Linked DNA regions of Macaca mulatta. Each later gene encodes a partner of the first gene's protein in a complex. Links are inferred from orthologs where the notes say so. Each region holds a gene or a part of one and is shown in the gene's direction. Other genes may lie near its edges.

What was found.
Region 2: ARPC1B (region 1) and ACTR3 share a complex: the UniProt entries of both Homo sapiens proteins name them as parts of the arp2/3 complex. The link is inferred for Macaca mulatta from reciprocal best matches to the Homo sapiens genes ARPC1B and ACTR3.
Region 3: the proteins of ARPC1B (region 1) and ARPC5L are in contact, whole or in part, in a cryo-EM structure (PDB 6YW6), measured with the Homo sapiens proteins. The link is inferred for Macaca mulatta from reciprocal best matches to the Homo sapiens genes ARPC1B and ARPC5L. Residues at the interface, in NP_005711.1 of Homo sapiens: Arg118, Lys138, Arg142, Phe164, Ser201, Gly203, Trp204, His222, Asp223, Ser224, Thr225, Leu240, Ala241, Ser242, Glu243, Thr244, Leu245, Pro246, Phe281; in NP_112240.1 of Homo sapiens: Asn21, Lys22, Arg102, Gly139, Leu140, Gly141, Ile144, Arg145, Thr148, Arg150, Lys151.
Region 4: ARPC1B (region 1) and ARPC3 share a complex: the UniProt entries of both Homo sapiens proteins name them as parts of the arp2/3 complex. The link is inferred for Macaca mulatta from reciprocal best matches to the Homo sapiens genes ARPC1B and ARPC3.
Region 5: ARPC1B (region 1) and ARPC5 share a complex: the UniProt entries of both Homo sapiens proteins name them as parts of the arp2/3 complex. The link is inferred for Macaca mulatta from reciprocal best matches to the Homo sapiens genes ARPC1B and ARPC5.
Region 6: ARPC1B (region 1) and ARPC2 share a complex: the UniProt entries of both Homo sapiens proteins name them as parts of the arp2/3 complex. The link is inferred for Macaca mulatta from reciprocal best matches to the Homo sapiens genes ARPC1B and ARPC2.
Region 7: ARPC1B (region 1) and ACTR2 share a complex: the UniProt entries of both Homo sapiens proteins name them as parts of the arp2/3 complex. The link is inferred for Macaca mulatta from reciprocal best matches to the Homo sapiens genes ARPC1B and ACTR2.

What each region holds. Positions count from the first base shown.
Region 1 is NC_133408.1:46,617,962-46,621,461, forward strand, and holds part of ARPC1B (actin-related protein 2/3 complex subunit 1B), read left to right. Parts: intron 1-833; 5' UTR 834-846; coding exon 847-910; exon of another isoform or gene 911-935; intron 936-1,737; exon of another isoform or gene 1,738-1,746; coding exon of another isoform or gene 1,747-1,786; coding exon 1,787-1,891; intron 1,892-3,139; coding exon 3,140-3,362; intron 3,363-3,500. UniProt on the Homo sapiens protein: Component of the Arp2/3 complex, a multiprotein complex that mediates actin polymerization upon stimulation by nucleation-promoting factor (NPF).
Region 2 is NC_133417.1:23,658,994-23,662,493, reverse strand, and holds part of ACTR3 (actin-related protein 3), read left to right. Parts: intron 1-846; coding exon 847-990; intron 991-3,050; coding exon 3,051-3,224; intron 3,225-3,500. UniProt on the Homo sapiens protein: ATP-binding component of the Arp2/3 complex, a multiprotein complex that mediates actin polymerization upon stimulation by nucleation-promoting factor (NPF).
Region 3 is NC_133420.1:22,905,296-22,909,475, reverse strand, and holds the start of ARPC5L (actin-related protein 2/3 complex subunit 5-like protein), read left to right. Parts: upstream 1-1,380; 5' UTR 1,381-1,466; coding exon 1,467-1,616; intron 1,617-4,180. UniProt on the Homo sapiens protein: May function as component of the Arp2/3 complex which is involved in regulation of actin polymerization and together with an activating nucleation-promoting factor (NPF) mediates the formation of branched actin networks.
Region 4 is NC_133416.1:117,616,724-117,620,958, reverse strand, and holds the start of ARPC3 (actin-related protein 2/3 complex subunit 3), read left to right. Parts: upstream 1-1,435; 5' UTR 1,436-1,512; coding exon 1,513-1,518; intron 1,519-4,235. UniProt on the Homo sapiens protein: Component of the Arp2/3 complex, a multiprotein complex that mediates actin polymerization upon stimulation by nucleation-promoting factor (NPF).
Region 5 is NC_133406.1:41,104,621-41,108,120, reverse strand, and holds part of ARPC5 (actin-related protein 2/3 complex subunit 5), read left to right. Parts: intron 1-2,281; coding exon 2,282-2,458; intron 2,459-3,500. UniProt on the Homo sapiens protein: Component of the Arp2/3 complex, a multiprotein complex that mediates actin polymerization upon stimulation by nucleation-promoting factor (NPF).
Region 6 is NC_133417.1:123,461,737-123,464,677, forward strand, and holds part of ARPC2 (actin-related protein 2/3 complex subunit 2), read left to right. Parts: intron 1-269; coding exon 270-370; intron 371-710; coding exon 711-811; intron 812-2,941. UniProt on the Homo sapiens protein: Actin-binding component of the Arp2/3 complex, a multiprotein complex that mediates actin polymerization upon stimulation by nucleation-promoting factor (NPF).
Region 7 is NC_133418.1:59,453,955-59,457,454, reverse strand, and holds part of ACTR2 (actin-related protein 2), read left to right. Parts: intron 1-2,492; coding exon 2,493-2,708; intron 2,709-3,500. UniProt on the Homo sapiens protein: ATP-binding component of the Arp2/3 complex, a multiprotein complex that mediates actin polymerization upon stimulation by nucleation-promoting factor (NPF).

The sequences.
Region 1 (3,500 bases):
TTTTTTTTTTTTTTTCCTGAGATGAGTCTTACCGTGTCACCGAGCCTCCTGAGTAGTGCGTATTACAGGCAGGTGCCACGACACCTGGCTAATTTTTTTTTTTTTTTTTTTTTTTTGAGATGGAGTCTGCTTTGTGGCCCAGGCTGGAGTGCAGTGGTGCGATCTTGGCTTACTGCAAGCCCCGCCTCCCGAGTTCACACCATTCTCCTGCCTCAGCCTCCCGAGTAGCTGGGACTACAGGTGCCCGCCACCACACCCGGCTAATTTTTTGTATTTTTAGTAAAGACAGGGTTTCACCATGTTGGCCAGGCTGGTCTTGAACTCCTGGCTGCAAGTGATCCACCCACCTCGATCTCCCAAGGTGCTGGGATTACAAACATGAGCCACCAGGCCTGGCCTGGATGACTTCATCTTCATCCCATCCTTAATGGGGCAGGGAAGTTGGGGGGGGTCCATCCTGTGAGGAAACTGAGGCACAGGTGACAAGTGAGGGGCCTGTCCGGCTTGGAGTCCTAGCACCCCACCCCGCCCCAGGGAGCATCTCCCCTGTAGTACTATCTCCTCCACTCTGTCTCTGGAGCCTCAGAGATATCCCGTGAAAGCTGCCCTTTTATAAGGAGGGAAACTGAGGCCCCAGGAGGGGAAGCAACATGTCAGGCCAGTTAGGAGCCAGGGCTGGCCCCTGCTGCTCGTCTCTGCAAACAGCTGCCTCTCTAGACTGAGGGGCCTCCCTGGTGTGAGGCCCTTGAGGATCAGCTGGGGCCTGGTATCCGGGTAAAGTCAGGGGCAAGGTCAGGGCTGACGTGGATTCTCTCTTCCTTTCTTGGGCACAGGAGCCAAGCCGCCATGGCCTACCACAGCTTCCTGGTGGAGCCCATCAGCTGCCACGCCTGGAACAAGGACCGCAGCCGTGAGTGCTTGCTGGGGGTCGGTGGGTGGCTGCTTCTACCTCCTGGGATGGGGAGACTGGAGCAGCCAGGCCCCCGGACCATAGGCTCCATGCGGCTGTCCCCGGGCCTCACCCCTGGGTCTTCCAGCTGACCAGGGGTCTCCTGGGTTAAAGTTTAAGGAGGGAATGGGCCAGGTGCAGTGGCTCACGCCTGTAATCCCAGCACTTTGGGAGGCTGAGGTGGGTGGATCACTTGAGGTCAGGAGTTCCAGACCAGCCTGGCCAACATGGTGAAACCTTGTCTCTACTAAAAATGCAAAAATTAGCTGGGCGTGGAGGCATGCGCCCGTAAACCCAGCTACTGGGGAGGCTGAGGCAGGAGAATCACTTGAACCCGGGAGGCGGAGGTCGCAGTGAGCCGAGATTGCACCACTGCACTCCAGCCTGGGTGACAAAGCAAGACTCTGTCTCAAAAAAAAAAAAAAAAAAAGAAAGAAAAAGTGGCCAGGAAAAGCCTTTTGGAGGAGATGACATTTTGACATTTACACAGACACCCAGAGGAGGAGAGGGAGGGAACTCTGCCCCAGCTGGGGAGGGGCTGGCAGGTGCAGGGGCCCTGAGGTGTCAGCAGGAGCAGCGAGGGGACCCTGGCTGGCCAGAGCGATAGGGTGGGGAGAGGTCCCAGGGGTCATTGCTGCGAGTAAAGGACAGTCAGTCCCAGGAGAAGAGAGGGTGAACTGGCAGGGCCTGAAGGACTTCAGGGGGCCCCCTCCAAGGCAGAGGAGGAGAGCCTGAGTCATGAAGGATGAGGCTGTTGCCCAGGTGCACTGTGTAGTGTGTCCTGGCAGAGGGCAGTCATGGAGAGGGCCCCTCAGTCTCCCTCCATCTCCCCTGCAGAGATTGCCATCTGCCCCAACAACCATGAGGTGCACATCTACGAAAAGAGCGGTGCCAAATGGACCAAGGTGCACGAGCTCAAGGAACACAACGGGCAGGTGACAGGTATGTCAGGGTGGCTGGGACTACCCTCCTGAAAGGAGGTGGGGGGTGGGGTGCAAGGCAGGACATGGCCACTCATTATGGGGCATCTACCCACTCACTGTGAAACCCTGATTCAAACTGGCTTCAATTTTAAGGGGACTGTGTTGCCTCATGTTACCAAAAAACCCAAGAGGGTTGAGGGCTTCAGGAGAGGCTTGATCCAGCAGCTCCACATGACCAAGAACCCATCTTTTCTGCCTCTTGGCTTTGCCCTCCAGCATGTTTACTGATAGCATGGAGGGCTCTGACACTCCCTCATAAGCTCTAGGAGTGCCCCCTGGTGTCACTCTAAATAAGCACTGGATCTCAGTAAAAAGTGCTTGCTGGGCCGGGTGTGGTGGCTCATGCCTGTAATCCCAGCACTTTGGGAAGCCAAGGAGAGTGGATCGCTTGAGTTCAGGAGTTCGAGACCATCCTGGCCAACATGACAAAATGTTGAAAAATACAAAAGTTAGCCTGGTGTGGTGGCACACACCTGTAGTCCCAGATACTCCAGAGGCTGAGGCAGGAGAATCGCTTGAACCCAGGAGGCAGAGGTTGAAGTCAGCTGAGTTCACACCACTGCACTCCATCCTGGGCGACACAGCAAAACTGTGTCTCAATAAAAACAAAGAAAGAAAGAAAGAAAGAGGCTGGGTGCGGAGGCTCACACCTGTAATCCCAGCACTTTGTGAGGCTGAGGCAGGCGGATCACCTGAGGTCAGGAGTTCAAGACCAGCCTGGTCAACATGGTGAAACCCCATCTCTACTAAAATACAAAAATTAGCCAGACATGATGGTGGGTGCCTGTAATCCCAGCTACTTGGGCGGCTGAGATGTGAGAATCGCTTGAACCCGGGAGATGGTGGTTGCAGTAAGCTGAGATCACGCCACTGCACGCCAGCCTGGGCGGCTGAATGAGACGCCATGTCAAAAAAAAAGAGAAAGATTGGTGGTACACACCTGTAGTCCCAGCTACTCAGGAGGCTGAGGCACAAGGATTGCTTGAACCTGGGAGGCAGAGGTTGCAATGAGCCGAGCTCATGCCACTGCATTCCAGCCTGGGTGACAGAGTGAGACTCCATTTCAAAGAGAAAAAAAAAAAGTGCCTACTGGGCAGATAAAGCTTCCACCTTGATTGTGGCCTTTCAGCCTCTCCTGTGTGGCCACCATAGAGCCACCCCTGCCTGAGTGTCGTCAGCCTCCTGTGTCCCCTCCATCCCCCCACAGGCATCGACTGGGCCCCCGAGAGTAACCGTATTGTGACCTGCGGCACAGACCGCAATGCCTACGTGTGGACGCTGAAGGGCCGCACGTGGAAGCCCACTCTGGTCATCCTGCGGATCAACCGGGCCGCCCGCTGCGTGCGCTGGGCCCCCAATGAGAACAAGTTTGCTGTGGGCAGCGGCTCCCGTGTCATCTCCATCTGTTATTTCGAGCAGGAGAACGACTGGTGGGTACCTGGGCGGGGCTGGAGTGGGCTGGTAGGGACCTGGGGGCAGGACTAGAGTTTCCCCGGGAAGCACCAAATGGGATGTCGGGACCCCTGTTCCCATGACCCCTGGGGAGTCCATCCTCTCCTCTCTGGGCC
Region 2 (3,500 bases), on another chromosome or scaffold:
AATTTGGCCTACAAACTTTAGCCACTTTTGCCTTTCTGACCTTTAAATTCTATATCCCTAACTTAATGAGACCAGTTCTGTTTTAGTTCTCTTTCTCGTTGTTGTGGCCTAGTAACTTTCCCTAGGCAGTAGGATAGAGTGTTTGTAACATTCACTTTATTTGTTTCCCTTTTCTTAGAAAGTATCTCTGCCCTACTCTGCCAATTGTCAAATGTCTGAAAACCTTTATTTCTTATAAAGTGTCCTTTATTTAAGTTGAGAGGGTGAGTTCAGTCCCTAATATTCTGTCATGGCCGCTGAAGGCATCCTTAATATTCTTTCCTAATGAAATTTAATTTTGCCACACTATTTGTTATACTTCTGACACATCAGTGAATTTGTGAATCAGTTCTACAGAATTTAGTTATTTGACATTATGGTGGTGTGTGGAAAGCTTCAGGTTTGTGAAATGGATACATACTTCATTAGAAAAATGATAGGCACTTTGTCAAATTTCTTATGACACATTCTAAATTATAATTACTGAAATTATAAATGATTTTAAAATAGTACTATCTGATATAAAGTCTGCTATCTAAACCATTTGATATTTCTATTTTGAAATTTACTGTTTCTGTGTTGTTATTTTAGTCATAGTTATAAATTGTCAATGGGAAAATAAATCTCAAGTTGCTGGCCATTCTTAGTTATTGTTTCTGATGAATAAAGGTGAATTCTGGGATAAAACAGTACTTGAGAATATGAATACACTAACTTGATAAATTGGTCTTTAATGGTTCATATTTTTAGGTTATATTAATTTTCAAAGCATTGAAAGTAAATTTGAAATCTTTTTCCCCCCTCTAGGCTGAAGGGTATGTGATTGGCAGCTGTATTAAACACATTCCAATCGCAGGACGAGATATAACATATTTTATTCAGCAACTGCTGAGAGACCGAGAAGTAGGAATCCCTCCAGAACAATCCTTGGAAACTGCTAAGGCAGTAAAGGTAAAAAGTGAGATAGAAGTGTAATTTAGTTAAAAATTAAAATCACATTTATAACATTAACATGAGAAATTTTTAATTGAAGAACAGTACTTAAAATAATCTTGTTAACCAGTTATAAATTATTACTCTTAAGTATATTTACATTTTCTCTGTATTTCTTGCAAGAAAATTATTATTACAAGTTTGTCTATTTTCTTCATATTTTATATTTGAGAGGAGTAATATATAAGAACATTTTACCAAATGACCTCTCCATAAATTTTTGTGATTCTCTTTATTAAAAATAATTATTTCACTGTAAAGTGCTTGCATCTCAATTTCTTCACTGAATTCTTTATTTTAATTTTAAAAGCTTTTGTCATAAAAATTATTTTGATATAATTGATTCATTGTGCTATAGTATAGAGGCAGTGTTAACTCAAGTGATAGGGCACATAGAAAAACATTAAGGCTATCTAAAGTATTTTTTAAATTTTTTCTGCCATGTAAGTATTATATCAATGCTTCATGCAAACTATCAAAATACTTTAACATCATCTTTCAAACTTACTATTTGCCACATAACCAAAAAATTTCAGTGGGTCTCACATGTTTTGAAAAGTAAAACTGCCCTGGCAAAAGTAACTTTTACTTATTTGTCTCTCTTTGCATGGTTTTTTTTTTCACTTATACATTTTTAAATTTTTTATTTCTTATTTTTATTGATTTATTTTTTATAGAGATGGGATCTTGTTCTGCTATCCAAGCTAGAGTGCAGTGGCACAATCATGGCTCACTGCAGCCTCAAACTTCTGGGCTCACGTGATCCTCCTGCCTCAGCCTCCTGAGTAGCTAGAACTGCAGGTGCATATCACCATGTCTGGCTAAGTTTTTGTAGAGATGGAGGTCTTGTTATGTTGCCCAGGCTGTTCGTGAACTCCTGACCTTAAGCAATCCTCCTGCCTCAGAATCTCAAAGTGCTGGCTGTGAGCCACCATGCCTGGGCCTCTTTGCATGTTTATGGGATTTTCCTTGCTCGTCAGAGCTTAAGAATGAAAATTTATCAACTACTTCCTAGGTAGTAAATTAGTAAAGGACTGCCAAAAGTTACCCCAAGTTGGTGGCATAAGAATTAAATATATAAAAAGTTAATGTGAATACTACTGATTCAACATCTTTGGGAAATCTGTAAAATTAAAGCAAAATGAGAAAACACCAGAGATTTAAATCTATTCCAGAGAAGATTGATGGTCAGTCTGAATGTCTTTAAAGGAGTATCATTTCTTGTCATTCCCACTTCTAAGGTTTGGAGAAGACCTCAAATAGTGAATCAAATGTCTTTCGTTTCCAGTATTTTTTCTCTTTGTGTATTTTGATTATTACTAGTAATATTTGCAACTATCTCGGATGGAGCCTGTGATGTATAAAAATACTGGAAAAGGAAGGCTTTTTAAAAATATATATATATAGGCTGGCAGTTGGGAGTTTATAAATTACAAATATGATGTTATAATCTATAATATATTTTTCAATGTTTTTGATAAAACTTTTACTTAGGTGTCATATAACCAAATATGCAACAAAATGGAGTAATTTATATTTTTAGCGTTCTTTCTTTGCTCATTTATTTACTCAGACTGTAATCAGTTTTGTTTCAGATATTAAGGATCTAATTAATTTGTGTGGTTATCATAATTATTACTTATTCCTCAGTTCTATATTTTATTTATTCTCCTTACGTAGAGCACGAGATTCATTATTACTGAGACAGAAAATGTTGAATGACATTAATGAACATTTTCAGGAAATAACACTGAAGTAGTAGAAATCAGCTCTCCAATCTCTCAAATATTATTTATATTTAAAGTCAGAAAATATGTGTAGGAGATGAGTATGTTTATTTGTACTACACATATGATAACATCCTAACATAAATTTTACTCCCAGCTTAATTTCCTAATTTTATTTTCTGAAGAAGTTTTTTTTTTTTTATTTGATTCTAGTTTACTGAAAACATGCCATTCTTTTTTACTGTTCCTGTAATAGGCAAAAAAAGTTACTTTTGTTTATTTGTTTTTCAGGAGCGTTATAGTTATGTCTGCCCAGATTTAGTAAAAGAATTTAACAAGTATGATACAGATGGGTCAAAATGGATTAAACAGTATACTGGAATCAATGCTATCTCAAAGAAAGAATTTTCTATCGATGTTGGTTATGAGAGATTTTTGGGACCTGAAATATTTTTTCATCCAGAGGTAAGTTTTTTTTAACGGAATTGTTTAAAAATATTCAGCAGCAAATATCAATTAATGGATATTCAGAGAGAATTGATCTCAAAAACTTTTATTAGTATACTAAAAACCGTTTGAATTTTTATGAAAAGTTTTATTTAAAAGTTTTATGAAATTTTTAAAGAAAAAATTTGCTTTTCTTTAAACAAGTGAAATTGTTGCTATTTTTTGTAGATTTAGAAAAAGCTTTTTTTTTTTTTTTTAAATATGGGGGCTTATGTGGGGGGGTCATGGGAAGAG
Region 3 (4,180 bases), on another chromosome or scaffold:
TTTTTTTTGAGACCGAGTTTTGCTCTTGTCGCTCAGGCTGGAGTGCAATGGCGCGATCTCGGCTCCCTGCAACCTCCACCTCCCAGTTTCAAGCGATTCTCCTGCCTCAGCCTCTCGAGTAGCTGGGATTACAGGCCTGCGCCACCACACCCGGCTAATTTTGTATTTTTAGTAGAGACGGGGTTTCAGCATTTTGCTCAGGTTGATCTTAAACTTCTGACCTCAGGTGATCCGCTCGCCTCGGCTCCCGCAGTGCTGGGATTACAGGCGGAGACTTTTCTTTAGCGCCAGTTTCCCACTATGGGAGTCTGTATCCTGGTTACCACGGAAGATTAGGTTGCATCATAGTCTGGCAATAGTTTTTTGATCTTTAGACACAGTTCAATGAGAAGTATTCGAAGCAGTAAAAATGAATCACATTCCAACTTTTATTAACAAGGGTACTATTAGATGAAAACAGTTTTCATAGTATTATATAAAAGACCCATTTTACTTACCCTAAGGCTAAGATCAATTAACAGAACCCCTGGGGTAACAGCCCAGGCACCAAATCTGACACCTCAGAGTCGTCCTTGACTTCCCTAACCCGCTTTCCCGCATCTCAGATTCTGAGAATTTGGTTTCTATCAAGATGTGCCTCTCAAGCCAGGCCTCTCCTGCCAGGACGGTGGCCACAGGGCCATCTCCCTCTCCTGGGGCCCCAACTGCCTGGTCAAGGTGACTGCTACACACGTGGGGCCGCAAAATCCCTCGAGTCACAATGTCTTCAACGCCTTGTCAGCCCTCTGATCGCACTAAACGTCTTTAAAGCCTCCCACTCCTTTAACAGGGTCACCTCTGTGTAAAGGAGACCTCCTCGTGCTAAGTGTGGCGGCGTTCAAGATTCCAAGACACAGACCCCTCCCGCGTCACTCCCCGGGCACAGGAACTCCTACTCATCCCTCAGTCATCAGCTCGAAGGTTTCTTCTCCAAGAAGCCTGCCCAGCACCCGAGAAGTAGAGCCCCGAGCCTTCTCCCGGGCGCCCAGTCTTCCCCCGTACAGGCAAGGATCACCCCGGAAGCCCGCGCCGGGCCCCGCTGAGGCCAGGGGTTCTTCGGAGGCGCGGGAAAGCCGGATCACCAGCGCGATTACGGCACACACTATGCGGGGCCTGCAAGGATACCGGGCGGCCACTCCTCAGTGGTAAGACAGAGGCTCCGCGGAAGAGAGACTGAGGTCGGAGAGGCCGCGGAAACCCCATAGCGCACTCCACGGGACAGGTTCCGCCCCGCCCCGATGACGCTTCCGGATCCGGCGTGTGCCGGAAGTGGGCGGGCGGCGGCGGCTGCGCGCGGAGGCGGTGGAGGAGGTGCTGGGAGCAGCCCGGTGGCCGCTTCCCGCCCCCGAGCCGGAGCCGGTGCGAGTGGAGCAGAGCTGAGGTCGGGCCGCGAGTGGAGCCGGCTGAGCGGGCGCCGAGCTCCCGCCATGGCCCGGAACACGCTGTCCTCGCGCTTCCGCCGGGTGGACATCGACGAATTTGATGAGAACAAATTTGTGGACGAGCAGGAGGAGGCGGCGGCGGCGGCGGCGGAGCCAGGCCCGGACCCGAGCGAGGTGGACGGGCTCCTGCGGCAATATCCTTTCCTGACGCGGCGTCCGGGCCTGCGCGCGGCCTTCCCACCTTCTCGGGCCCCTTCGGGCGGGCCTCTGCTGTCTCCGACCCCCGGCCCCCTCAGGTCAGCCTTCAACTCCCTGCCGACCTGACTCCCCTGGGCCGTGCTCCCCTGAGTCCTGGTCTCCCTGGGTCCTTCCTCCCCAGCCCTGGCCCCTTCTTGTGCAGCGCAGCCCCGCAGGCCCTTGGACCCGGTGGACGGGCTCCCTCGGTAGCCCCGCAGGTCCCGCGCCCCGGGCTCTCTTCCCCTCTTGCCTCCTCGTCCCCTCACGCTGTCCCTTTCTGGGGGCCCCAGCACTCCGTCCCTCCCTTGCAGGAAATCGGGCCTATGGCGGGGCTGGGTCGGCGGCAGGGCGGAGGTGAGCCGTATCTGAGTAACCGAGTGATCGGTGAGGCTGGGGCGCGGTCTTCCGGGGCCAGATTGCCGCAGGGCGTGAAGATAGGTGGGTGGACCGCTGTGGGGAAGACAGGACCCAGGAGGGAGTGGAGGCGGCCGCCCTATTTCAGCCCTGGGGTCTAAGGTTGTGCCTCCCCTCCCCCAGTCAGTCTAACCCTCCCGCTTAATGCTGAGAAAGGGAAACCCTGTGGTTCCTCTGGTCACCTTGGTGGTCTCAGCTACGCTCAGCAAGTGAGTCTTGGCTCCCCCCAGTACCCTTCTGGTGCAGGAAGCAGCGGAAAGAACTAGTAGTTCAGAGCTAAGAAAAACCAGACACCTTGAAGTGAAGTGTGAAAGTAGAGCCCCACGCCTGGAAATGACTGTTCTTGTGGCCACAGAAAACAGCATTTAGAAAAGATTAAAAATAGAGGTGATTGTCACAGCCTTGCTTGGTCCTTTAGCAGTATGAGCGCAGGAAACTGACTTATTCTCACCGGAAGGATTTTTCTTTATTCAAATGGTGTTCCAGGAAGCCTGTCCCCTCCCCCCGCACGGGCGGGGGCAGGGTTGGAGGCCCATGCTGTACATAAATCAGGTTCTCGGTGTTGAACCAGTTGACTCAGCTTGGAAAGTGGGGCCTGCTGCTTTAGGGGGAGCCCGGCAGTGCTCCTCAGTGTGCCTTTAAAACGAAAACCTTCAGACTTGGTTTGAACAGGAATGTGTTTTCGGAAGTGGAGATTCAAGCTTGTCATTCCTGCCCCATCAGGATCTCCCAGTCCACCCTAGTTATGAAATGGGGTCAAGGGAAGGGTCCCCAGGAGGGAAGGTTGGTTGTAGTCAGGTGCAGGGCCTGGCTTATGGAGAGTCAGTGCTGAAGGGGGCTCCAAGGTCAGGCCTTTGGCCCAGGACCCTCATTGAACAGATGAGGAGGTCAGGCCTGTCAGCTGCTGCCTTGGTCTGGGTGCAGAGCCTTGTTGAAGGTCATGTCTTGGGATTCCCCTGCCTGGTGACAGGTTCCTTGAGGCTGCTTAGAGGCCTGGGTTTAGCACATCCCGGGGATGGTCGTTTCTCCATTCATGGCAGCGGCAGAAACCTTGTTACCATGGAGAGTGTTCCACCTGGGGTTGGGGAAAGGGAGGTTAGCGGATAAAGAGAACTGAAACCCTGGCAAATACCGGACCCAGGTAGGGAGGAGAATGGAACTGATATTTATTGGGTCTCTATCATGTGCCAAGAATTGGACTTAGACCATTGAGGACAGGGGAGCAGGGAGAGGGATAGAGGGATTGGGGTTGGGGAGGGCAGAGAGGAACCCTGTCCTGGGGCTATATAGGGAAGTGTGTGTGGCGGGAGATCACGCAGATGGGGTAGAAGGAACTCGGCTGTGCATCTTCGCACACCGCGCGCCATCATGCTCTGGCTCTGACCTCGGATAGGTCACATACCCTTTCACAACTCAGCATTCTCCTCTGTGACGTGGCAGACAGCCGTGCTGGCTTCCTAGGTTCTGTGGGAGCCTCATGGGCTAACATCAGCATCACGGGGCACACAGCAAGTGTCTGCTCAGGTCTGCAGCTAGAGCGGCAGCACGGGATTGTGGGAGGAGCTTGGGTGCCAGGGCCATCTAGACAGCTTAGTTTTGTGACCCTGTGCAGGTAATTTCCGTTCTCTGAGCCTCAATTCCATTGCCTTTCAAATGAGATAATGATTGTTGTTACTGGGATTTTTGGAATGAGATGGCATGTGAAAGCACCAGGCACAGGATCCGAGACCTTGTGGCGATTTAAAAGTATGAGTTCCTTTCCCCTCAGTGAAGCAGCTTCTAGACTTCTGGATCAGGGCTCTGGCCAGAGCAGTGGTTTTGAGCGATTTTGCACCCCTCCTCTCCACCTCAGGAAATTAGAAACATTTTGATAGTTACAGCTTGGGGATGCCACTGGAATCCAGTGGGCAGAGGCCTATGACCCACAGCTGAGATCCCACGTCAGAGAATCGTGGGTCCACAGTGTCAGTTGTGCCGTGATTGAGGAAGATCTAGAGATCAAGGGCTGGGCAGGGTTCCCCCAGCACCACAGCCTATTCTCTGAAAAGGTCTAAAGCCAGCCAAGTGTGACAGCCGGCTTCATGAATGATAGGTGATTTCAGGGAGGC
Region 4 (4,235 bases), on another chromosome or scaffold:
CCACTGGACACTAGGGTTTCAAAGATGAATCTGACAATTCCAGTCCTCGAGGATTTCACTGTCTCATAGGCAGGGCTGACATGATTCTTTACACAAATTTACTGAAGTTCTATGGATGCCAGGTACTGGGGATAGAACAGGGACTCACAGTGCAGGCAGCGCTTTGCTCACGTGGGGCTGTCATGCTGGGCTGTGAGACTGAACCTCGGAGAGAGGATGGAAAGAACAGAAAGCAGAAAAGAAATGGAGAGTGACTATGGGGCTACTTTGGGCTCTTTGTCAAAAAAGACCTTGCCTAAAAGGTGCTATTTGCCCAGTCACCTGAATGCGAAATCAGATGTGGGAACATGGGGCTCTATTCCAGGCTGCGAACTGGCAGAAGAAATGGCTCTCAGGTAGCAATGAACTTGACTTTTAACGTAAGTTTTCTAGTAATAAATAGGTTAAAAACTCCTGGGCTTTCGGTATGCTCCAAGCATGTAAGTTCTAAGCATTTTACATGTAATTCATTTCATCGTCACAAAATTATGAGGTAAATATTGTTACAACCATTTTCAGGTGAGGAACTGAAGTACAGAGGCAAGTTAACTTGCTCAAAATTATAGAGCTAGTATGTATTGAAGCTGCGATTCAGATTCCAGTGCCCTTCAGTTTCTCCATTTTTAGATGCAGTGCATTGGGTTCATTCATTTACTCAAATACTGATGTTTCCTACATACCATCACTGTTACAGGCGCCAGGGGACAAAACGGGCGAAGTGCTGTCTGGCATTTACAAGGATAGGGAGACAAGCACTAAGAGTAAACTAAATACAAGAATCATAAGAACTAAGGGAAAAAGCGGGAGAGAAGGATAAGGCATGGGGCTGGAGTCGGGTGAATTGAAAACAGAATGACCAGAGGCGGCTTCACAGGAAAGGTGTTTTGTTTGTTTGTTTAAGATAGAGTCACACTCTCACCCAGGCTAGAGTGCAGCGGCACGATCTTGGCTCACCGCAAACTCCGCCTCCCAGGTTCAAGCGATTATTCTGCCTCAGCCTCCCGAGTAGCTGGGATGCTACCACGCCCAGCTAAGTTTTGTATTTTTAGTAGAGACGAGATTTCACCATCCAGGCTGGTCTCGGACTCCTGACTTCAGGTAATCCACCCGCCTCGGCCTCCCAAAGTGCTGGGATTACAGGCATGAGCCACTATGCCCGGCCCTGAAAAGGTGAAATTTGAAAAAAACACAAAAGAGGTGATTGATCGAAGATTCTGGAACCTCAAGACCCATCTCCATTCTGCGCGCGCCTCACGCTGCGCCACTCTGAGGGCCCCTACCTAGCGCTCTGGCGCCCCCTTTCAGATCCGCGCGGCCGCTGCAACCAGAGGCGGAACTACAAAGCCGGAAGCTCACGTCATCACCCCGCCCCTTCCGTTTCGCTTCCGCCTACCCCGCCCGGGCTGCAAGACCGGAAGCGCTCTGCTCTACCTGGATTCTGCTCCTCTGGGTTGGAACCCGGGTGCTGCCAAGATGCCGGTGAGGGTTCGATCCATGGTGTGGGGAGACAGCGGGGATTGCGAAAAGCGGGGAGAAACCTTGTGTGTGCCGAGAGAAGCGGGCGGCGGAAGGCAGAGAGGAAGCGGGGGCCCGAGAAGGAGTGAGGCGAGGGGAGGGGACCGGTCGCTGAAGAATTGGGACAGCCCGCGGGTGCCAGTCGTGGGAGGCGGGGGCGCGGCAGGAGTGGGCCCGGGGTCCAGGGGTCCAGGGTGTGTGAGGAGGCCCTCTTCTCTCTCTCTCCGTCTACTCCTTCCGGCTCCGGCAGGGTTCCCAAAGCGTCACTACAGCGCGAAGCCAAGGGTTGCCCTTTTTATTTTTCATATTTCAAGTCCAGGGTCTAGCTTCTCCTTTTTCTGTGAGGCCCACTTCCTCCTCCGCCCCGGGGGGCAGGCTCCCTCTGCTGTTTGTCATTTGTCAGAACCCACTTCCCGGCAGCGGCGGCCACCCCGGAGCCACCTGGGTATAGGGCCCTCACAGACTCGGTCGGCGCCTGACTTCCAAAGATTTCCTTTTTCGTGTGCATCAGAGTGGGAGTAAAAATCTATGACGGTCTGGTTGTACTTAATTTCTGACAGGCAGTCTGTGGGCTAGATTTATCACCATCATGGTCTCCATTTTGCAGATTCGGGAAAAGGTGGTTCGGTTATTGTGTGATTGTTCACACTTTTTTTGTTTTTTGAGAGAGTCTCGTTCTGTCGTCCAGGCTGGAGTGCAGTGAGGCGATCTCGGCTCACTACAACCTCCGCCACCTTGGTTCAAGCAGTCCTCGTGCCTCAGCCTCCTGGGTAGCTGGGATTACAGGCGCGCGCCACCACGCCCAGCTAATTTTTTGCATTTTAGTAGGGACGGGGGTTTCACCATGTTGGCTGGGCTGGGCTGGAACTCCAGACCTCAGGTGATCCGCCCCCTCGGCCTCCCAAAGTGATGGGATTATAGACATGAGCCACCGCGCCCAGCCTGCTCACACATTATTTTTAACAAACGTTACCGAGCACCTACTGCCTGCCAGGCTCTATTTACAGCAGCAAATAAGTTCAACAAATCCCTAATCTTAAACAGTGTACGTTCAAATCGGGAGACGAGACAATAAAAGTGTAAACATAAAGGAGATACATACAGTAGTGTCAGGTAGTGACAAATGCTATAAAGAAGCTAGATGGATGGCCAGGCGCGGTGGCTCACGCCTGTAATCCCAGCACTTTGGGAGGCCTAGGCGGATGGATCACGAGGTCAGGAGTTCAAGACCAGCCTGGCCAACATGGTGAAACTCCATCTCTACTAAAAATAAAAAAATTAGCTGGGCGTAGTGGCGCGTGCCTGTAATCCCAGCTACTTGGGAGGCTGAGGCAGGAGAATCGCTTGAACCCAGGAGGTGGAGGTTGCAGTGAGCCAAGACTGTGCCACTGCACTCCAGCCTGGCCACAGAGTGAGACTCTGACCCCCCCACTCCAAAAAAAAGAAACTAGATAGGTAACAAGACAGTTTGGTGAAAGGGAAGGCAGAGGGTGCTTTACATAAAGTATACTTGTGATGAAAAGGAGCAAGCCATAGTTGCAAATACATATATATATAGATATATATAGATAGATTTTTTTTTTTTTTTTTTTTTGAGACAGGGTTACACCCCGTCTCTGAGACTGCAGTGCAGTGACACAAACTTGGCTCAGGTGATCCTCCCACCTCAGCCTCCTGAGCAGCTGAGACTACAGGTGTACATCACCACGCCCAGCTAAGTTTTTCTATTTTCAGTAGAGACAGGGTCTCACCATGTTGCCCAGGCTGGTCTCAAACTTCTGGGCTCAAGCAGTCCTCCTGCCTCGACCTCCCTGAGTGTTGGGATTACAGGCGTGAGCCACCTCATTCAGCCTCACAAATACATATTTTATGAATTCCGTAATTACCATTTGACTCCTGAGCTCTGGGGTACACACTTTATAAATTATCCCATCTAATCCTCATAATGACCCTGTGAAGTAGGTACCATGATTCCTATTTTACAGAAGAGGAAACGGAACCTCAGAGAAGTTAATTTGGACAAAGTTGCCTACTAATGGTAAAACCAGATTTTAAGCCAGGACTCTAGGCTGGGTACAGTGGCTTATGCCTGTAATCCCAACACTTTAGGAGGCCAAGATGGGAGGATCACTTGAGCCCAGGAGTTTGAGACCAACCTGGGCAACATAATGAGACCCTGCCTCTACAAAAATAAGAATAAATTAACTGGATGTGGTAGTGCATCTCCTCCCAGCCTCTCAAGAGGCTGAGGTGGGAGGATCACCTGGAGCCAGGAGTTTGAGGCTGCAGTGAGCTGTGATCATGCCACTGTACTCCAGCCTGGGTGAGAGGAGACTCTGTCTCCAAAAAAAAAGGACTCTAAAGCCCTGTACTGGCTCCAGTTGCACATAGAGCACCCTGGATTCACCCTGGGTTGGTTGGTTGGTTGGTTTGTTTGAGATGGAGTCTCGCTCTGTACCAGGCTGAAGTGCAGTGGTGCGATCTCGGCTCACTGCAACCTCTGCCTCCTGTGTTCAGGTAATTCTCGTGCCTCAGCCTCCCAAGTAGCTGGGAATACAGGCATGTGCTACCACACCCGGCTAATTTTTGTATTTTTAGTAGAGATGGGGTTTCACCATGTTGGTCTGGATGGTCTCTATCTTTTGGCCTTGTGATCTGTCAGCCTCGGCCTCCCAAAGTGT
Region 5 (3,500 bases), on another chromosome or scaffold:
AAAAATAGCCCTGTAATGTAGTTATGATAATGCTGCATGGTAAGATGCAGTGAATTCAAATAGTGAAATCATTTGTGTGTGTTTTTAGAGGAGACCACTCAGGCTGAATTTGAACAAAGGTTTGAAAAATAAGTTAAACCTTTACAAAAATAAACAGATTGTAATTGCTTTTTAAAGATTTTTTAAAACTGTACAAATACTAAATATTTATTATAGAAAGCTCAGACATATGGGAAGGTTAAAAAGATAGTCATTTATAGTCCCACTACCCAGAGATAACAGTTACTACTTTGGGGCCTTGCTATATTGTTAGAGTTCCCTTTTGTTTTTTAAGAATGAAATTTTATAACCTGCTTTTTCGGCTGTATGCAATGTACAAGAGATTTCCTTCGTAATAAGTTTATTTCTATAGCATTTTTAACAGTTGTATATGGATAAGCTGCAGTGTATACATAACTAATCTTTTGTTATATATTTAGACTGACTTTTCCTATTGTGAACCACTGAAATGAATATTTTTTGGTAAATTTTTAATTGTTCTCTTTGAATAAATTGCTAGCAGTGAATTACTGGATCAAAGAACGCACTTTTTTAAGGCTTTTGGTACATGTAGTATTGCCAAATTGCCCTTCAGAATGGTTGTGCAACTTACATTCTCTGCAGTCTTTTAGTAGTTCTTAGCCTATTTAAGTATTTATTTAAAATGATGCCCATAGCATCAACCTCATTGTCCATAACTATTCGTACATCCTAGGAGCTTCAAGAATCTCAATTGAGTAGTAGTAAGTAATAACTTAGGTAAATGTGTAATAATTATCTAGGTAACATAATTTTTTATCGGGGAAAAATTGCTTTGGTTTTTACAAGTTGTAAAGAATGTCGTTGAAATTTCATTTTTACCCTGGATGCAAAGATATGTTTTCTAAATCTGGTGATTGCATAGTCTTTAAACCAAAGATAACAATAGGTAGTAGAAACATTGTGTGAAATCCTGACCAGTAGGAATGCTGGAGGTAGCCCTTTGTGTTGAATGGAAGAAGAAACGAATTGTTGAAAAGGTCAGTTAAGTGTTCCCTTTGCTTGCTTGAATGGGTAAGAAAATAACTGCTTTTGAAGCAGGCTTTTGCTAAAGAAAAAAGATCATTATTAATGAACATCACTATATTTCGTATCTACAGTCAATTCATATAAATTACAATTTTCTTTTAAGACAGCTTTGTTTAAAAATTTTAAAAGAAAGTTTTTAAGAAAAAATTACTTCTGAAGAATAATTCAAGGTAGAAATGCAAATCTGCTTCCTTGTTTTGTGGGGTTTCTTTTTTTTTTTTTTTTTTTTTGAGACGGAGTCTCACTCTGTTGCCCAGGTTGGAGTGCAATGGCGCAATCTCTGCTCACTGCACTCTCCGCCTCCCGGATTTAAGCGATCCTCATGCCTCAGCCTCCCGAGTAGCTGGGATCACAGGCACCTGCCACTATGCCCGGATAATTTCTGTATTTTTAGCAGAAACAGGATTTTACCATTTTGGCCAGGCTGGTCTTGAACTCCTGACGTCAGGTGATCTGCCCATCTCGGCCTCTCGATGTGCTGGGATTACAGCTGTGAGCCACCACACCCGGCTGTTTTGTTGGAATTTTGTTTTTAAGATCAAGACATAAAATTTAAATGTTGTTTTAATAAATTGTTAAATTATCACATTGATCTGTTAGCAAATCCTCTTGGCTCTGCCTTCAATTATGTCAATAGTCTGTCTAGTTTTTAACCACTTCCACTGCTACTGTGCTCACCACATCCGGCCTGTATTACTGCAATTACCTCCTAATTGCTCTCCCTGCTTCTGCCTTATCCCCTACCCCCACTGCTTATTCTCTGTAACGTAGATGCCAAAGCGATCCTGTTAAAATGTGAGTCAGATTATGGCACTGCTCTTAAAACCTTCCAATGTCTTCTTATTTCTCTCAGTAAAAGCCAAACTCCTTACAATGCCTGGAGGCCTTACACGATCTGTCCTCCCATAACCTCTGACTTGCTCACCTGCTTTTCTCCCACCAGTCCACTCCAACCACATTGGGTTTTTTTCCTATTCCTAGAACACACTGAACACACACTAATAGTGTGTTCTTTCCTCTGTCTGAAACACTTTCCTCAGTTATCCCAGGCCTTCCTCTTTCACGTCCTTCAGGTCCTTACTCAAATGTCACCTTCTTAGTGTGGCCTTTCTGAAATTCTAAACCATCCTCATACAGATACGTCTAAATGTTCTGTTATTTATTTACTCACCAGGACCGGGCAGGCAGCATTGTCTTGAAGGTGCTCATCTCTTTTAAAGCTAATGATATTGAAAAGGCAGTTCAATCTCTGGACAAGAATGGTGTGGATCTCCTAATGAAGTATATTTATAAAGGATTTGAGAGCCCCTCTGACAATAGCAGTGCTGTGTTACTGCAATGGCATGAAAAGGTAAATTATGAATTATAAATCTACATAACTGGTTCTTTTACAATAGGGGATGACAGTGACGACCTCTCTCACCTGAATAACCATTTTGACTTGGTTGTACATTTTTTTATTACAAATAAAATGCATGAAAATGATAGTTCATATTTATGTTTACTAGCCTTGGTCTTAAGAGATTCTAATTCCAACACTTGTGTTTATTCAGCAACGATTATTAGTAATTAAACATAATCTTGAACTCTAAATTAAATCAAAACTTTGTAAAAGAAAATAAGCAGTATAAATCAAGAATTCTTTCACAGTGACCAAAGGGTGAAAACAACACAAGGATCATCAACAGATGAACAGGTAAATTGTAGTACATACATACAATGGAATATGATTCAACCATAAAAAGGAATGACATTCTGACACATACTATAACATGAGTAAACCTTGAAAACATACCAAGTGAAATAAGCCAAATACAAAAGAACTAATATTTTATAATTTTACTTATATAAAATAATCTAAGATAGGCAAAGACAAAGGGACAGAAAGTCCTTAGAGGTTACCAGGAAGTAGGAAAAGTAAGGAATAGGGAGTTAGTGCTTAATGGGTACAGAGTTCCTGCTTGGAGTGGTAAAAAAGTTATGGAAACAGATAGTGGTGATGGCTACAATACATTGTAAATGTAATTAATGCCAATGGATTTTACGCTTAAAGATGGTTAAAATGGCAAATTTTGTGTTAGATATTTTACAACTTTTTTTTAAAGAATTAGGGGTTTGGAGGATCAAGAATTCTTAAATCATTTTTTTCTATTTTCATGCATATATTTTGCAATGTAAGTAGATGCTGGTACATCATCTGTCAAAAGAGTACAAGGGATTTTGAGCTTTGGGTAAAAAACTGGATAACATGTAAATAGAACCAGCCATAAAAATATTAAGTGTTTGAAGTGTATCCGAATGAAAACACACACATAAGAGAAAAGTACATAGTAAACTTGTTGTTTAGCCTTGGTCAAGTCACTTTATCCCTCATACACTATCAAAAAGAACTA
Region 6 (2,941 bases), on another chromosome or scaffold:
TGCACAGCTGCAGAATCCAGGACTAGAATGAAGGCCTAGCGTCAAGCCCTGTTTTTCATCATGGGCTCCTCCGTTCACGCTCATTGACACCTTTCCTGGCCATGCTGTTTATCCTTCCATGTCAAGAAAAAACCCTGACAAAGCCTGGTAATATTGACACAAGTGGAGGGTACTTCAGCAGAGAGGGAGTGAAGTTCACTAGGCTGTTGTTCTTCCCCACCCTTTGGCATTCGTGTTGGGTCCTAACACCTTGTGTCTTCCACCTTCAGTGCTGTTCCCTCGTCACACCAATGCCAGCGCTCGAGACAACACCATCAACCTGATCCACACATTCCGGGACTACCTGCACTACCACATCAAGTGCTCTAAGGTGAGGGGGGTGCCAGCATCTCAGCCGCTATGCTCTGGGTCTTTTCCTCCACCAGAACTCATGACAAAAAGTCATTCTGTTAGTCTAGGCTGTGGATATTGACTCTTAGGTAGATAATTCTAGAGGCTTCAAGAAACCATGGTCTTTCTTCATCAAGCCACTGTCCCCCACCCCTCCCCGTAGCAGAGATGAATATTTGTTTCCAGAATTGCTCACCTTCCTGCTTTGCTGCAGGGCCTGGGTCAGTCCCAGGGTGTATGTTCCCAAACGCCTCTGATGAAAGCAAAGCTGTCTTTCTAGACCGTGACTGTGCTTCAGTACCTGTTATGTTTGTTCCCAGGCCTATATTCACACACGTATGCGGGCAAAAACATCTGACTTCCTCAAGGTGCTGAACCGCGCACGCCCAGATGCTGAGAAAAAAGAAATGAAAACAATCACGTAAGTTAGGCAGCACTCCAGCAGGACCACCTTCCTCTCCTGAGTCACCGAGAAGGAAGCAGTGGGTGCTGGTGGCCTGGTCCTCCATGTGTCTGGGCACTGGCTACATGTGAGGCCAGCAGGGCTAAGTAGATAAAACAAAGGTGGGATTCCAGGTTTTCAGTGCTGTATAGGCCCAGATGGGTTTCCTTGTTTCCATATCTTTGTGAACTCTGAGAATGGCAGCTAGGAAATAAACAAAGTTTACCAAGAGACTGTTGTTTTTGGGCCTGAGTTACGAGGTCAGTCTTGTGCTTCTGGTGTTCTTTCTGGAGAGATGGAAGAAGTTGCTTAGGGACCTTTACTTGGGTAAATAGTCCTGACGCCGCCCACTAAGCGTTCTTTCCCTGGTGTACTCTCAGCGGGAAGTTTGCATGCAGAGGAAAGTTCTCTTTATCAAGGATAGAATTGAGGAGAGCCCTGATGGGCACAGTGGCTCACGCCTGTAATTCCAGCACTTTGGGAGGCTGAGGCAGGTGGATCACGAGGTCAGGAGTTCAGGCCTAGCCTGGCCAAGATGGTGAAACCACATCTTTACTAAAAATACAAAAAAAATTAGCCGGTCGTGGTGGCAGGCGCCTGTAATCCCAGCTACTCGGGAGGCTGAGGCAGAGAATTGCTTGAGCCCAGGAGACAGAGGTTGCAATGAGCTGAGATTGTGCCACTGCACGCCAGCCTGAGCAACAGTGAGACTTCGTCTCAAAAAAAAAAAAAAAAAAAAAAAAATTTTTTTTTTTTTTTTTTTTGAGGAGAGCCCTAAATAGGGGTGTGGCTCTGCATGCAGGAAAGACGAGCATGGCCTAGAGCCTAGAGAGTTCCATCTCTGTGAAAGGTGCCAGACCTTGGTTCTTCTGATGAAATTCAGGCAGTCCTGTCCTTAAGATACAGTAATGGTGTTCATCTGCTGTTTTTTTGTTTTGTTCGTTTGTTTGTTCGTTTGTTTGGTGGGGGTAGTTGGGGGAGACAAAGTCTCATTCTGTCGCCCAGGCTGTAGTGTAGTCCAGACCTTGGTTCTACTTCTGATGAAATTCAGGCAGTCCTGTCCTTAAGATACAGTAATGGTGTTCATCTGCTGTTTTTTTGTTTTGTTCGTTTGTTTGTTCGTTTGTTTGGTGGGGGTAGTTGGGGGAGACAAAGTCTCATTCTGTCGCCCAGGCTGTAGTGTAGTCCAGACCTTGGTTCTTCTTCTGATGAAATTCAGGCAATCCTGTCCTTAAGATAAGGTAATAGTGTTCATCTGCTGTTTTTTTGTTTTGTTTGTTGTTTTTTTGGTGGGGGGAGTTGGGGGAGACAGAGTCTCATTCCGTCGCCCAGGCTGGAGTGTAGTGGCGCAATCTCAGCTCACTGTAACCTCCACCTCCCAGGTAGCTGGGACTACAGGTGCACGCCGCCACGCCCGGCTAATTTTTTGTATTTTAGTGGAGATGGGGTTTCACCATGTTGCCTGGGCTGGTCTCAAACTCGTGATCTCAGTCAATCCGCCCACCTCGGCCTCCCATCTGCTGTGTTTTGTACCAGTTGAACTAAAAGTCTTGAGATCATAAGCCTCCCTAACAGCCAGTGTATTTGCCAGCACCCCAGTACTATTGGTGTTTGTTTTGTTGTTTTGTTGTTTTTTGAGATGGAGTTTCGCTCTTGGAGCACAGGCTGGAGTGCAGAGGCACAATCTTAGCTTACTACAACCTCTGCCTCCTGGATTCAAGCAAATTCTCTTGCCTCAGCCTCCACAGCAGCTGGGACTACAGGCTTGCGCCACTAAGCCTGGCTAATTTATTTGTATTTTTAGTAGAGTCAGGGTTTCACCATTTTGGCCAGGCTGGTCTTGAACTCCTGACCTCGTGATCCGCCCACCTCAGCTTCCCAAAGGGTTGGGATTACAAGCGTGAGCCACCGCGCCTAGCCCAGTACTCTGTGATTCCCAGCCTGGAGTGCAGTGGTGCAGTCTTGCCTCACTGCAGGCTCATCCTCCTGGGCTCAAGCAATCCTCCCACCTCAGCCCCCCAAGTAGCTGGGACCACAGGCGTGCACCATCACAGCTGGCTACTTTTTTAATTTTTGTGGAGACAGGATTTCACCATGTTGTCCAGGCTG
Region 7 (3,500 bases), on another chromosome or scaffold:
TAGTATATATAATTACAGGTATAGATTTCACTCCTAACATTTTATTAAGCAGTATTAAGAAAACATAGCAATACTGAAATGATTTTACAATGAAACTTGTATATCCATCACCTAGATTCTGACATTAATATATATCATATTGATTTATTACATATCTGTTCATCTATTCATTCATCATTGCATCTTGTTTTTTAATGGATTTCAAAGTAAGTTGCAGATACCAGTATACTTCAACATGTGCATGTTATTAACTAGAATTCACAAATACAGATTTTCTGTTTTGCATATTCCTCATAGAAGAATCTAAACAGTTGGTTGGGCGTGGTGAGTCATGCCTGTAATCCTAGCACTTTGGGAGGCTGAGGTGGGCTGATCTCCTGAGCCCAGGAGTTCAAGACCAGCCTGGGAAACATGGTGAAACCCCTAAAACTACAAGAATTGGCTGGGCATGTAACCTGTAGTCCCAGCTACGTGGGAGGCTGAGGTGGGAGGATCACCTGAGCCTGCGGAAGTTGAGGCTGTGGTGAGCCATAATGGCACCACTGCACTTCAGCTTGGGTGACAGAGTGAGACCCAATCTAAAAAAAAAAGAGTCTAAACATTTAATATTTCAGAACTTTGAGTAATAAGTTAGTAAGTTATGTTAAATTAACTTCATCAGAAATTGCAACAGACATTTTTATTGAACATTTCTAGCATCTGTTTTTAACTTTGTTGTAGTTTTTGATGTTGCTTTTAGTGGATTTTCCAGAGATCTGTTTGTTTTTTTGTTAGAGTCCTCATCTTGGTTTCATCTCTGATTTTTTTTTTTTTTTTTTTTTTTTTTTTTTTTTTTTTTTTTTTTTGAGACGGAGTCTCGCTCTGTCACCCAGGCTGGAGTACAGTGGCCGGATCTCAGCTCACTGCAAGCTCCGCCTCCCGGGTTCACGCCATTCTCCTGCCTCAGCCTCCTGAGTAGCTGGGACTACAGGTGCCCGCCACCTCGCCCGGCTAGTTTTTTGTATTTTTTTAGTAGAGACGGGGTTTCACCGTGTTAGCCAGGATGGTCTCGATCTCTTGACCTCGTGATCCGCCCGTCTTGGCCTCCCAAAGTGCTGGGATTACAGGCTTGAGCCACCGCGCCCTGCCTTTTTTAAAAAAAAAAAAACATGTATTTTTAAGCCTTCATTTTAAAACATCTCATGTTGGCCAGGCGCGGTGACTCATGCCTGTAATCCCAACACTTTGGGAGGCTGAGATGGGTGAATCACTTGAGGTCAGGAGTTTGAGACCAGCCTGGCCAACATGGTGAAACCCCATCTCTACTAAAAATACAAAAATTAGCCAGGCGTGGTGGCAGGTGCCTGTAATCCCAGCTACTCGGGAGGCTGAGGCAGGAGAATCGCTTGGACCTGGGAGGAGGAGGTTGTAGTGAGCTGAGATCACGCCACTGCACTCTAGCCTAGGCAATAGAGCGAGACTCAGTCTCAGAAAAATAATCTTGTGTTAATTTTGCTGCTGCTTTTTTTTTTTGTCTCTCCATAATTAAAACTTAATGTATTGTAGCAAGTATCTGCTTCTGATACTAGTTGTGTTTTATTGAATTTATCAACATATGTAGAAATTAATATTATTTAACATGTTGACTAGCTGTTTTCTAAAAATAAATCTAAATGCTAGGACGTCCTTAGCCTTATTATGTATACAAAATGTGACTTTCAAATGTGGATCATCTTAAGTATGCTCTCATTGGAGACAAGACTTGTGAGTATTATGCTTCATGTGTGATGGTGTAGTTTTCCAATATTGTACTTTAAACTTGAAAGTGTTGCTCAGGAGATGATTTTAAAGGATAGGTTGTTTGCCTATATCTTAATTTTTTTATAACTCTACAGATTTTCATTCACCTTGGTGAGGCATATGTAGAAACAGTTTAAATTCTAATTCAGGCATATGTAGATAGAAGTTTGTGCCATTTATAAGTTCGTTGGTGTATGTATGCATTATTATAGAGTAATAAAGAATCATTTTATTTTTTGCTTCTTTCATTATGCTTTATAGTACTTACATTTATCATTTTGATATTTAGTGCAAAGAATTGTGCTGCATGCATTGAGCATTTTTCTACAAGTTTTTTTCCCCCTGATGTACTATTTCACATATCACAGGCCTTATTTTTTGAACAATTGAGCAAAAGAAACAGATGAAACCTCATACAAAACCCTCCAAAATATGAAAATGTGGGGTTTATTTGTGCTAATGCTCTTCTTTTGGAAACATTTATGTTAAAGGTAAGGTCAATTTATTGATTTAAACCACATTGTACATAAAAATTTATTATCCATGATTAAACTTTCTAAGACATTGTTCTTGATAGAAAAGATTTTCTAACTTGTGGAATAAAAAGCTTTATTTTGCAAGTGCCAGAAAGATTAAAATTAATTATTCCCCAGTTTTCTTAAAATATGCAAATATGCAAAACTTTGATCTACAGCTTTGACATAATTTTCTAGGATCTTATGGTTGGAGATGAGGCAAGTGAATTACGATCAATGTTAGAAGTTAACTACCCTATGGAAAATGGCATAGTACGAAATTGGGATGACATGAAACACCTGTGGGACTACACATTTGGACCAGAGAAACTTAATATAGATACCAGAAATTGTAAAATCTTACTCACAGAACCTCCTATGAACCCAACCAAAAACAGAGAGAAGATTGTAGAGGTGAGTTTTTATGCAGGATATGCATATGTGTATTTCTGTGATATTATGTTAAATAAAAAAAAAGTTTTTTTTTTTACTGTTGCTGTGGATAAAGAGAATAAAAATAATTGTTTTCCTTCAGATCTTACTAAGTATCTACTATATGCTAGTTGTTATTCTAAATAGGAAAGAAGAATAGATCAGTAAACAAAAAATCCTACTGCCATGGAGTGTCTATATTCTAACAGGGAAAAACAGGCCAAAAAAATTTAAGTTTTTAATTTAGTGAGTTAATTTAATTAAGTTTTTATGGAGGAGCCAGCAGAAGGAGATTGAAAAGGCTAATACAATAAGCAGTTACAGAGTTAATTAAATGGTTTGTTAGAAGGTAAGCGATCCAGTTGACCCTTGAGCAATGCAGGGGTTAGGGGCACCAACCCTCCCTACTCTTGTGCAAACTTAACTGCCCCCAAAAATACTTCTAATAGCCTACTGTTGACCAGAAGCCTTACTGATAACATACTATGTATTATATACTATATTCTTATAATAAAGTAAGTTAGAGGAAATGCTATTAAGAAAATCATAAGGAAGAGAAAATACATTTGCTATACCTTAAATGGATGTCGATCATCATAAAGATCTTCATCCTCATTGTCTTCACGCTGACAAAGAAGAGGAGGGGTTGGTCTTGCAGTCTCGGGTGGCAGAGACAGAAGAGGTGGAGGAGGGAAGGGGAGGCAGGAAAGATTTATTGACAAAAATTGTGTATAAGTGGACCTGTGTGGTTCAATCTTCTTGTTATTCAAGGTT